Sus scrofa: one gene and its partners. The protein of the gene in region 1 purifies or fractionates together with the protein of each later gene. This does not show direct contact. Links are inferred from orthologs where the notes say so. Each region holds a gene or a part of one and is shown on either strand. Other genes may lie near its edges.

Evidence for each region. The genes of interacting proteins can lie anywhere in the genome.
Region 2: the proteins of RB1 (region 1) and TFDP2 purify together in Homo sapiens (affinity purification with mass spectrometry; 4 studies listed by BioGRID and IntAct, counting the BioPlex papers as one, with this or other methods). This does not show direct contact. The link is inferred for Sus scrofa from reciprocal best matches to the Homo sapiens genes RB1 and TFDP2.
Region 3: the proteins of RB1 (region 1) and PHB purify together in Homo sapiens (affinity purification with western blotting; 3 studies listed by BioGRID). This does not show direct contact. The link is inferred for Sus scrofa from reciprocal best matches to the Homo sapiens genes RB1 and PHB1.

Annotation. Positions count from the first base shown.
Region 1 is NC_010453.5:19,314,836-19,318,841, forward strand, and holds the start of RB1 (retinoblastoma-associated protein), read right to left. Parts: upstream 2,801-4,006; 5' UTR 2,670-2,800; coding exon 2,506-2,669; intron 385-2,505; coding exon 258-384; intron 1-257. UniProt on the Homo sapiens protein: Tumor suppressor that is a key regulator of the G1/S transition of the cell cycle. The hypophosphorylated form binds transcription regulators of the E2F family, preventing transcription of E2F-responsive genes.
Region 2 is NC_010455.5:82,766,791-82,770,290, forward strand, and holds part of TFDP2 (transcription factor Dp-2), read right to left. Parts: intron 1,372-3,500; coding exon 1,220-1,371; intron 1-1,219. UniProt on the Homo sapiens protein: Can stimulate E2F-dependent transcription.
Region 3 is NC_010454.4:25,603,194-25,606,693, forward strand, and holds part of PHB (prohibitin), read right to left. Parts: intron 2,612-3,500; coding exon 2,450-2,611; intron 1-2,449.

The DNA.
Region 1 (4,006 bases):
AGTCTTTATGGCACAATGAAGTATTTACAAATAAAATATGATATTTATGAGTTGTTTTAAAATGCTTTTGGTGGGGAGCTAACATAGGGAGTTTTTTTCCTTAATTTTTAGTTTTATCAGAAGTAAGTTACCTCTGAATAATAGACTTGTTCCTAGCTTTAGTTTATATTTTTCTATTTTCCAAATTTTCTATGGTGATTTAAAATAATTTTTAAAATGAGAAAAATATTTTCAAAAAATTTTAAGACAATCCTTACCAATACTCCATCCACAGATGAAACCTTCTCCCAAGTTAACCAAGCTCTTTCTCTGACATGATCTGCTATCTTTAATTTCTGACATAATGTAGTAAAATCAGGTTCTTCAGTTTCTTCAAATGCAAGCCTACCAAATGAAAATATAATATAAAAGGCACTTTTATAATCAAATTAATTACGTAAGCATTGGTTTCACTGGTTTGCATATAATATAGCACTATTCTGAAAGACATCACCAAATACTTTGGGATCTTAACTATCGCTTAAAAAATTACACTTAGAATTTAAACGTATGTTGATCTTTTCAGTATTTCCAAAATAAGAGTACCACATAGTGAAAAATGTTTGCTGGCCTGGTAAATCATAGGAACTTCAGTGCAGCAACATAGCTTTGGGAAGAAAAGCAAGTACAATAGCTACAGCTGTTAGGAAAAATTGGGACAGTAACAGAAAAGGAAAGCCATAGATAACATTACAGAACCAATTCAGTATCGGTGACTTTGCTAAAATGCAGTCCACTCTCAACAACGATTCATTTAATCTCTCTACCTACTACTAGTGTTTCTTATATGATTAAATTATTGATATGCTTATTTCAGCCTTTTCTCCTTGATCTTCCTTAACCAAGATAGGCAGTCAAAAAATTCTTGTTGGCTAATTCTTATTCATTCACTTAATATCTATTTGACATAAGAATAGTATAGTACAAGGAACAGCTAATAATTTTTTAGTATTTACTATGCTCCATATGAACAGGATTTAAATGAATTGATGGGGTTTAGATGCATGGTTTAATACATACATAAGCCCTAACAGGTAAGTACTCTGATGATCACAAATCAGAGAAGTTAAAGCACTCACCTGAGATCACAGCGAGTAAGTGGGAAGCTCTAATATAAACCCAGTAATCTAACTCTCTAATCCATGCCCCTGACCCTATTCCAGACTGCCAAACCTCCTTTGAAACACAATTAACTTTTGGTTATCTCAAGAATGAAGACTGTGTGCTGTTCTGGTATTTCCAAAAGCCCACTTCAGTCCCTAACAATGTGTCCTAGGGCGGTGAAAGAAATAGGACTTGCTGACGGATCAGAACTGCAGGAAAGAGTGGTGAGGATCAGCAGAGTCCCATCCCCTGGCAATTGATGCGTAGTCTCAAAGGAGGGCCAGTGCTAACAATGATAATGACAATTACACTCTTTCGATCTTGGCTTCTAAACCGTAAAGCATCACAATCAAGAAAAATAAGATGCTGCAATAACTATCTCCCTATATTATCATGGACTCGCTGAAATTTAGAATCCACCTGGGGGGAAAATTAATTTTATGTGAGCACAAGAACACTAATCTTGTTCCCAAACAAATACAAAAGAGACACCAAGATCCTTGCTGGCTCAAAGCCAAAAGGCAAAATGGAAGAAAAAAAGAGGCAGCCTGAAGCAGACTATCATGCAAGAAGAGTTTTATGCAACAAGAAAAATGAGAACGTTCAGAAACTTCGAAGCTCTTGAGCTAAATGTCTCACAAAACTTTTACCGATACAACAAGTTCCTCTTAGAGAGCTATGTTCCACCAGTCACTACCGAAGGCTTAGAACTCAAAGCACTCTTTACAAGGGAACCCCGAAAAGCACCCCAGCCGAGCTCCCGGAGGGGCAACTGCCACCCAGAACCCTGCACTTCACGTCCGGTGGCATCTCTGCAGCAGTATCCAAGGTTTTCCTGGCTGGCCTCTCCCAGGACTGGGCTTCAGATGAGTCGCACGCCCAGAGGAAAACACTTCCAAATGTTGCACCGCGGGAGACCAAAACAGAAAGTCGAAAGACCACCGGAGGACTACAAATCTCAAATGGGGAAAAACCTCTCCAGCAATCTAGTCTTTCTTTTCTTTTTTTCTTTCTTCTGCATTTGATGGGGTCTGCAAACGACCCGCCGCCTGCGAGGCTCCCGTCTCGCGGAGGAAAGGCGGCACCTGTCACTTCGCTCAGCGACCCGAGCCCCACCCGCTCGACACCTGTCAAGCGGGAGCCGAAACCCCTCCCGGCCGCCCTCCCCTCGTTCCCGACCCCAGACCCCTGTCAGCCTCCTCCCGGCGCTCCGCCGCCGCGGGGGGCCGGGGAGGACCCTCCTCCCGCCGGGACCCGGCCCGGGCGGAGACGCGCCCCCGCCTAGACGCCGCGGCGCCCGCCGACGCACCCCCGGGGCGCCCTTCCCGCGCGCTGGCCGCCGCGACGGGTCGGCTCGCTCACCTGACCAGAGGCAGGTCCTCGGGGCCGCTGTCCTGCTCGGGGTCCTCCTCAGGCTGCGGTGGCGGCGGTGGCGGCGGCGGCGGCGGCGGCGGCGGGGGCTCCGCAGCAGCAGCGGCGGCGGCGGCGGCGGCGGCGGCTGCTCTCCGGGGGGTTTTGGGCGGCATGACGCCCTCCCAGGGCCGGTGCCGGCGAGCGCTGAAGGAGGGCCGGGGCAGGAGGACACGCGCACGTCAGGGCACGCCCCGTCCTCTCCCGACTCCCGTTACAAAAATAATTTGAACGTCCCCTGAGAAAAACCGGACGAGCCCTCCCCCGCCCGGCAACCGAGCGCCGCGTCCAACCGCGGGAAAACGTCACTTCCGCCCGCGGCGTCACGTCCGCGAGGCTCCCGGGCCCGCTGGCGTTTGGAGGGCACCGGGGCGCCGAGCGGGGCGCGGGGCGAGGGCGCGCGGTCGGGCGGGGAACCCGGGCCTGGAGATCCAGGCGCGCTCCCTGAGGCAGCCGCCGCCGCCTGAACCTGCCTCGCGCCGAAACTCGCCCCTCCAGGCTTGGGTGCCGGTAACCGGGCGCTACCCAGCCTGGTGGGTGAGAGCGGGCCCCACCTCAATCTGCGGGTGGATCTGGGGCCCGGCTCGAGCCCGCGGGGAATATCGGGCGAGCGCACCCTGGGCCGGCACGCCCCTCTCCTCCGCGGGCGTCGCCCTCGCTTTCGCCCGCCCTCCTCCCGCCCAATCCGTTAAGCGAATCGGCCAAAACAAAAACACTTCTGGAATGCCTGTTAGGAGCTGAGTTTGGCCAACCCCTAGGAGATCCCAAGGAGGGGACAATGACTGGCCTTTTAGAGCTCTTTTTAGGGAAAGGGGTGGGAGCTGTGAGCAAAGAACTGATTATCGGGTGCTAAGTGTTTTAATCGCGCTGTGAAAACTGAAGCCACGGTTGAAATGTTTAAGGGACTTCTTCCGAGGAGCAGTAGCATTTGAATGGAAGTTAGCCAGACAGACCTAACATTTAAGGAGGGCTTACTATATGTATAAAGAATTGTTCTGGCCATTTTACATAATTATCTTACTTAATCCTCACCAACATCCCCTTAAACTGAGTCGTAGTCGAATTCTACTTTCCAGTGCGGAAAACAGGTGCAGAGGAGTTAATTAATTTGCCTGATACTACAGAGATGATAGGTGGTAGAGGATTTGAACACAGATATATTTGACTCGACTTGTCCATTACATTATGTTAAAGAAATACCAAGAAAAGAGAAACAGCTTGTGCAAAGGCACAAAGACATCAGAGAAGAGTTTGCCGGAATTGCAACCATTAAACATTGGCTTAGAAACTGTCTCTTTTGTCTCTTGATATTTACTTATAATAAGAGATTGTCTTGTTTGAGAACATGTTTTTCCCTCATTGGCAAATGCTGTGTGTTGCCATGTCAAAGCTTCCCAGCTGAGGTGCTGTGAATAAAATACAGCTGTGCTCTTGAGGCGAATCCCCTCATCTT
Region 2 (3,500 bases), on another chromosome or scaffold:
GCTCGGGAAAACAGTATGGAGGTTCCTCAAAAAATTAAAATGACCCAGCAATCCCACCTCTGGGTATGTATCTGAAGGAAATCACAATCCTGAGCAGATAACCTGCATTCCCATGTTTACTGCCTACAGCATCATTTCCAACAGCCGAGGCATGGAAACAATCTGTGTCCACCATCAGATGAATGGATAAAGAAAATGTGGGGTATACACACAATGGGTCATTCAGCCATAAAAAAAGAAGGAAATCCTGCCATTTGCAACAACATGGATGCCCCTTGAGAGTATTACGCTAAGTGAGACAAAAAGAGAAAAACAAATAGTGTACGATCTCATAAGTGGAATCTTAAAAAAACAAAAACTAAAACCAAAACCAAACTCAGGAGTTCCCATCGTGGCGCAGTGGTTAACGAATCCGACTAGGAACCATGAGGTTGTGGGTTCGATCCCTGCCTTTGCTCAGTGGGTTAAAAGATCTGGCGTTGCCGTGAGCTGTGGTGTAGGTTGCAGACGTGGCTCGGATCCCGCGTTGCTGTGGCTCTGGCATAGGCTGGCAGCTACAGCTCCGATTAGACCCCTAGCCTGGGAACCTCCATGTGCCACGGGAGTGGCCCTAGAAAAGACCAAAAAAAACAAACAAACAAACAAACAAAAAAAACAAAACCAAACTCACAGATGCAGAGAACAGACTGGTAACCTGCCAGACATGGGGGGTGAGTGAAATGAATGAAGATGGTCAAAAGGTACAGACTTCACAGGATGAGATAAATAAGAAAGAAAGCAGAGAACACATCTAGCATTTTCACATCTGTTCGTTCATCATAAAGAGAAGCACACTCAACTCTGACACAGCAAAGGAAAACAACTGCTTTAGTGCAGCATTGATCTAAACCATTCTCAGCATCAACTACGACAGTGAATCACCAGCGAACCTACCTGAGTGATGCTCTACTTTACCTGCCCAGAGTTACACCACCTACATGTACATACATGGGCACCACCATGCATATGACAAAGGCAGCACAGGGCCAGGCCCAAGAGAGGGGGTTGCGGAGGGTGAATGACAGAGCAAGCACTAGCAGGTGACGGCACCCCATGTCTGCAAAGCCGTTTCATATGCCTTGAGGAAGTCAGCCTTGGAGCACAACCCTCTTAATTTTGCAATTGTTCGGCATAACGTTAGAAGGTGAGCCCTGCACTCTGCTGCTCGTTCCCCACTTACTTGTCACTGGAGATGCTGCAATCTATGACTGTTTTTCTGCTTGTGTTGATGATTATAAACGGCAGCTGGATGGTGGAGTTCAGAGCTGGAGGGCCCTGGTTCTGCTGTTCATTTTGCCGATTTCTCTGTACCAGGTTTTTGAAAGCAATTTGCTGTGATGATCAATAAAAACATACATTTAGTCATTTCATGTGGATAAAGGAGGTGGAACTAAATGGATTATGATGAATACGCTTAAAATATAGTTTAAAATGAGAGCATTTAAAGAGGCCTTTCACCTCTGGGTTAATTAAAATTAAATATTTAAGAAGAAAGATTAGAACGATCCAACTCAATAAATTTCAAGGGAAAAATATACTCTTAAATGGTGTCTAACGTATCCTAATGTAAATAATAGGGCCCATGGCTTCCACCACCCACTAAAGCAGGATCTTACAGATCTGGGAGAAGCCAGTGCACCCACAACTCATAGAGTGAGTAATACAGAGAAAGTGACACCAAGTGGACTTGTTTTCATTTATCTAACACAGACTCCTGAGAGCTTAGCATGAAATACACTTCTTAGATTGTCTAGCCCAGAAATATGCAAATTTTATAAAGCCACAGAACCCTTTCTTCAAATGACATCTTCTGGGACAGCCACTATTTATATAACAGATGAAAGCAGCATTGCTCTGGCTGGATGCATGGGACTGAGTCCTGAGCCCTAAGCCCCAACAGGTCTGCCCTCACCTGAGATCCTTCACAGAACTTCTAAGCATCCTGAGGGCAGAGTCTGGAACCTGGCCCAACCTCTGCCCACCTGACATCTTCCAGATGAGGAAACTGATTCTAAGATATACCAAGGCCTGAATCTTTACACTGAATCTCGCTACTTTTAGTTATAACCATTACTCATAAGGCATAGAAAGTGACCCCCGCCTCCCCTTTTTCTTACTAGGGCTGCACCCGCAGCATATGGAAGTTCCCAGGCTAGGGGTCGAATCAGAGCTGCAGCTGCCAGCGTATGCCCCAGCCACATCAAACCTGAGCTGCATCTTCGACTTACATGCAAGTTGTGGCAATGCAGGATCCTTAATCCACTAAGTAGGGCCAAGAAGTGAACCTGCACCCTCATGGGTACTAGTCAGGTTCTTAACCCCCTGAGCCACAAAAGGAATTCCTACCACAGCCCCCCCACTGTTTTCCATTTGGGGACCACAAGGTAAAACTTTCAAGGCAGACTTGGTTCCACCCAACCAGCACATGATGAAACCCTCATCTAAAACCTTCATCCAAGAGGGCACTGTCCGCCCCAAAAGTCACCTCAGAGGCCAGACCCTTCCTTCTAACGATGCCACTGTAGTCGCAGATCATTTGGAACTGCTCCCCCAAGCAACTGTGTGGAATGCTTGTCTGGGGCAGTTCACCGTCTGCCTACAAGACCATTGTCAGGATTTTGAGGCCATAGCTTCCTCTGGCACAAAACGACATTTCAATGTAATCATTGTAATAGATGGCAAAAAAAGTCACAGTTCTCTCTTTGCTCCTACATCCCTACCATTTGATTTGTAATTTGCTTTGGCCAATGGGATGTTGGCAGAAATAATGCACAGGCTTGAAAATGGACTTGCACACAGAAATTTCTTTCTCTCTATGGCTCTGCCATCAACATGAAACTATGGCCCAGTTAGCTTAAGAGGAGCTACTGTCCACAAGGCAGGAAGGGTAGGCAGTGAATTCCCCCTGGACCCTCTGCAGAGGGCAGATGTAGGGCCAGCCTGCAGGGTGCGAGCCCCCAGTCCCTGGGGCCCACTGTCAGACCAAAAGAAGATGCAAGGTCATTTCCAGGGCGAGGTCTCAGGGGACGAGGGAACTACATCTCCATGACCTGGTCCCTACTACCGCTTTTTAAATAAGGCAGAACCCACAGTTACAAAAACCTTAGGCAACTGAAGTCTTTGATCTGCTCATAGAACGGATACTAGTTTTAAAAACTAAAGTTGGAATCTTTCTTCGGCTTGCTCCATCTTCTCCCCCAGCAGTGATGAGTTTATTTTCTACATTTCAATAGCCTTATTCTAAGGTGGTTTATTTTAGGTTCTGGGCCTTACTGAAGTTTGGTTACAATTATTATTTTTAAATGGCTGGGTGCTATCTCCCTGGAAAGTAAACATTTACTTTTTGAAAATGCACGAAACAGAAGGGACACCAGTATATTCTAGGCCTAAAAGTGTGTCCAAAAGTCACTACCCAAAACCATCACTGTCGATACCATTCATTACCAAACATTACTTGGGTC
Region 3 (3,500 bases), on another chromosome or scaffold:
GCACCAGATGGAAGGGGTTATCAGACGCATCAAGAGGCCAGTTCTAATTACTTGGCCCGGTCAAAGGAATCCGGGAAGGGAACTAAAACTTCCCCTTGACAACCCAGGCCTGCTTGGCGCTAAAGTGCTCAGAGCTTGCTCGTGGTCACAGCAGTATGGACCAAGCGCCCGGGAGAGCAGCTCTGAACCAGGCACCAGATGTGGGACATGTTCACACACGAGTCCCTGATCTCTGCGGTTCCCATCAAGTTCTGAAGAGAGGTGCACAGTGTACCCTTGAGGCGCACCGTGTAACCACTAAACGGTAGAGAGAGAGAGCACTCCCGGAGAGAGCGAACACTGAGAACCAGGCCTGTAAGATAAAATAGGATTTTTCTTGATTAACCACACCCCACCACTGAGGTCCTCTGACGCGGTTGCTAAGCCGGACCCTTTACAAGGCTCCTTCCTCTCCCCGGCTGGCGGGGGGGGGGGGGGGGGGGGGCAACAGGACAGACGATGCAACACCAATGCACCGCGTCCCCTCCTCAGCCCGCCACACATCTCCCTCTCAAGTGCCAGCAGATGCATGTGCCTCGTAAGCGGGCTCCTCTCTGCTCTCCCCACAGGCTGTGCCCGCCACGCTTCCCTCTAACTGCCTGTCCGCAGGACCACCTCCCAGCTAGACCGAGCTCCTAAGGGCACCTGCTGCCTGCTGCCGTCGTCTTTAAACCCCCGCTCTCTGACCCAGCCCCAGGCCTGGCACCACCACAGAAAGCAAACATCTGCTGAGGATCAGCGACGTCCCCTCAACCCTCTCCCCTTGCTGCACAGAAACGTCACCCCTGAGCCTGTACCTGCCATTCCGTTTACCGCCCGTGCACCTCTGGGGGTGGGAAGAGGGGAGAACCAGAACAGCCATTCATTTTAGGCTCCGACTGGGACGCCAGTGGTGCGCCAGGCACCAGACTTGGGGATGTGGGCTTTGGCCTGTGCGAAAGCCATGAGAGTGCAGCACTGCTGGAAGCAGAGGCCCTGGGAAGCAGGGCAAAGGCTAAGTCAGCTGTGAAGGCCAACAGACGGGCTGGAGATCAGTTTACAGTCACCCTGGGGAATGAGAACCGACTGGGAAGGGTCAACTGAGGGGGCACAGGCGCATTTAGATTTCTGTAAACCTGGATCACCGGGTAACTCTTGAAATACATCTGCGTGCATTTCTCTAAATTTGTACGGCTCTGTGCGCGGATCTCCAGTATACAGGCACGCCTCGTTTTATTGTGCTTTGCAGACACTGCATTTTTTTACAAATTGAAGATGTGTGGCAACTCTGGATCAAGCAAGTCTATCTGTGCCATTTTTCTTTTCTTTTTTTTTTGTTTAGGGCCACACCCACGGCATATGGAGGTTCCCAGGCTAGGGGTCCAATCGGAGCTGTAGCTGCCAACCTACACCACAGCCACAGCCACGCCAGATTCGAGCCCCATCTGCGACCTACTCCACGGCTCACGGCAACGCCGGATCCTTAACCCACTGAGCGAGGCCAGGGATCGAACCTGAAACCTCATGGTTCCTAGTTGGATTTGTTGCTGCTACGCCCCGAGGAGAACTCCATATCTGTGCCATTTTTCTAAAAGTATCTGCTTTGTGTCTGTGTCACATTTAGGTAATTGTTGCAGTATTTCAAAAATTTCCAGCATTGCCGGATTTGTTGTAGTGATCTGTGATCAATGATCTGTGATGTTACTTCGATAATTCACCCAAGGCTCAAAGGCTGGTCAGCATTTTTAAGCCATAAAGTTTGCTTGTTTGTTTTTTTTGGCCACAGCCTGCAGTGGCGGGATGTGGGATCTCAGTTCCCAGACCAGGGATGGAACCTGGGCTGCAGCAGTGAAAGCGCCAAGTCCTAACCACTAGACCACCAGGGACTCCCCAACCACAATGTTTTCTTTCTTTATCTTAAACTTTTAATGACTTTTACTTTTTCCATTATAGTTGCTTTACAGTGTTCTGTCAATTTCTACTGTACAGCAAAGTGACACAGTCACACACACACATGTACACATTCTTTTTCTCACATTATCTTCCATCAGTAACTTTTTCTTTCTTTCTTTTTTTTTTTTTTTTGGCTGCGCCTGCACCATACAAAAGCTCCTGGGCCAGCTACTGAACCTCTGGCACGCAGCGACCTGAACCACAGCAGGGACAACACCAGATCCTCAACCTGCTCGGCCACCAGGGAACTCTGTCAAGCATTTCACTGTATTAGAGCATCTGCCTCGCTGTGGTGGTCTGTGACCAAACCAGGGGTATCTCGAAGGGTTGCCTATTTCCTTCTATGCTGCATAAAGGCACATAAAACTCTTTAGGAAAGATATGCCAGGAACTCTTACAATGTGAAGTTCGACCCCTTCTGGATCTCACAGTAGCCTCCCCGACTCTCCACTTGCCCTGACCCACACACAAGACTCACCTTTGCTACCAGTGATCACTGGCACGTTACGTGGTCGAGAGCGGCAGTCAAAGATAATTGGCTTCTGTACCCAAGGGATGAGAAAGTGCGTCCCTTCCCCTACAACAATGTCCTGCACACCACGGAACCGGTCAAAGATGACAGCTCTGTGCCCAGCATCCACTAGGAATGAAGGAAAACGATGGGTCAGAAAAATCCCTTCACCCGTTAACCAAAATGATCATGCCCTTGAAAGATCCCTGGCGCCTTTTTTTTTTTTTTTTTTTTTTTTTTTGCTTTTTAAGGGCTGCACCCAAGGCATATGGAAGTTCCCAGACTAGGGGTCAAATGGAAGCTATAGCGGCTGGCCTAACCACAGCCATAGCAACATCAGATCCAAGCCTCGCCTGCGACCTACACCACAGCTCACGGCAACACCGGATCCTTAACCCACTGAGCGCGGCCAGGGATGGAACCTGTGTCCTCATGGATACTAATCAGGTTACTGCTGAGCCACAACGGGAACTCCTCCCAGTGCTTTCTATTCATGTATTAAGTCTCCCCTCTCCTGCTCTACATTCCCAGACTTCTGACCTCTAGAGGCTTCTAAATGGCTACAAAACAAAGCAATCACTCCCATGTGTCTTCCCAAGGACTTTGGTTACAGGAGCTTTCCTCAGCACCCTTTCTCTCTGAAACAACTGGCTGCTGATTTTCTGATTAACCACCTCACTCCCAAACTCGCAAAGCATTTCCAGAAATCACTTCTCAAAACTTTCTAAAACTCACCAAGGTCTTCACTGTTACCACATTCCCTCCGGTTCCAGCCTCACCCAGTGTGCGCAGAAACAGCACCCTCACTCCGGCAACCCTACAACTCAGAAGGCCCCACTCTTTACTTCCAATAGCTTGGTTTCTCTACGGTTTTAAGGGGCTACAGAGCTGTCTTGCTGACTGAGAGAGAAATGAGTGATGGTGATGATGTCTAGCCATGCAGGGCTGGCCAAAAAGATCAGAGTATATCTGCCTTTTTGCACTTTGTGGTCAGTTCAATTATCTTTTTTTTTTTTTT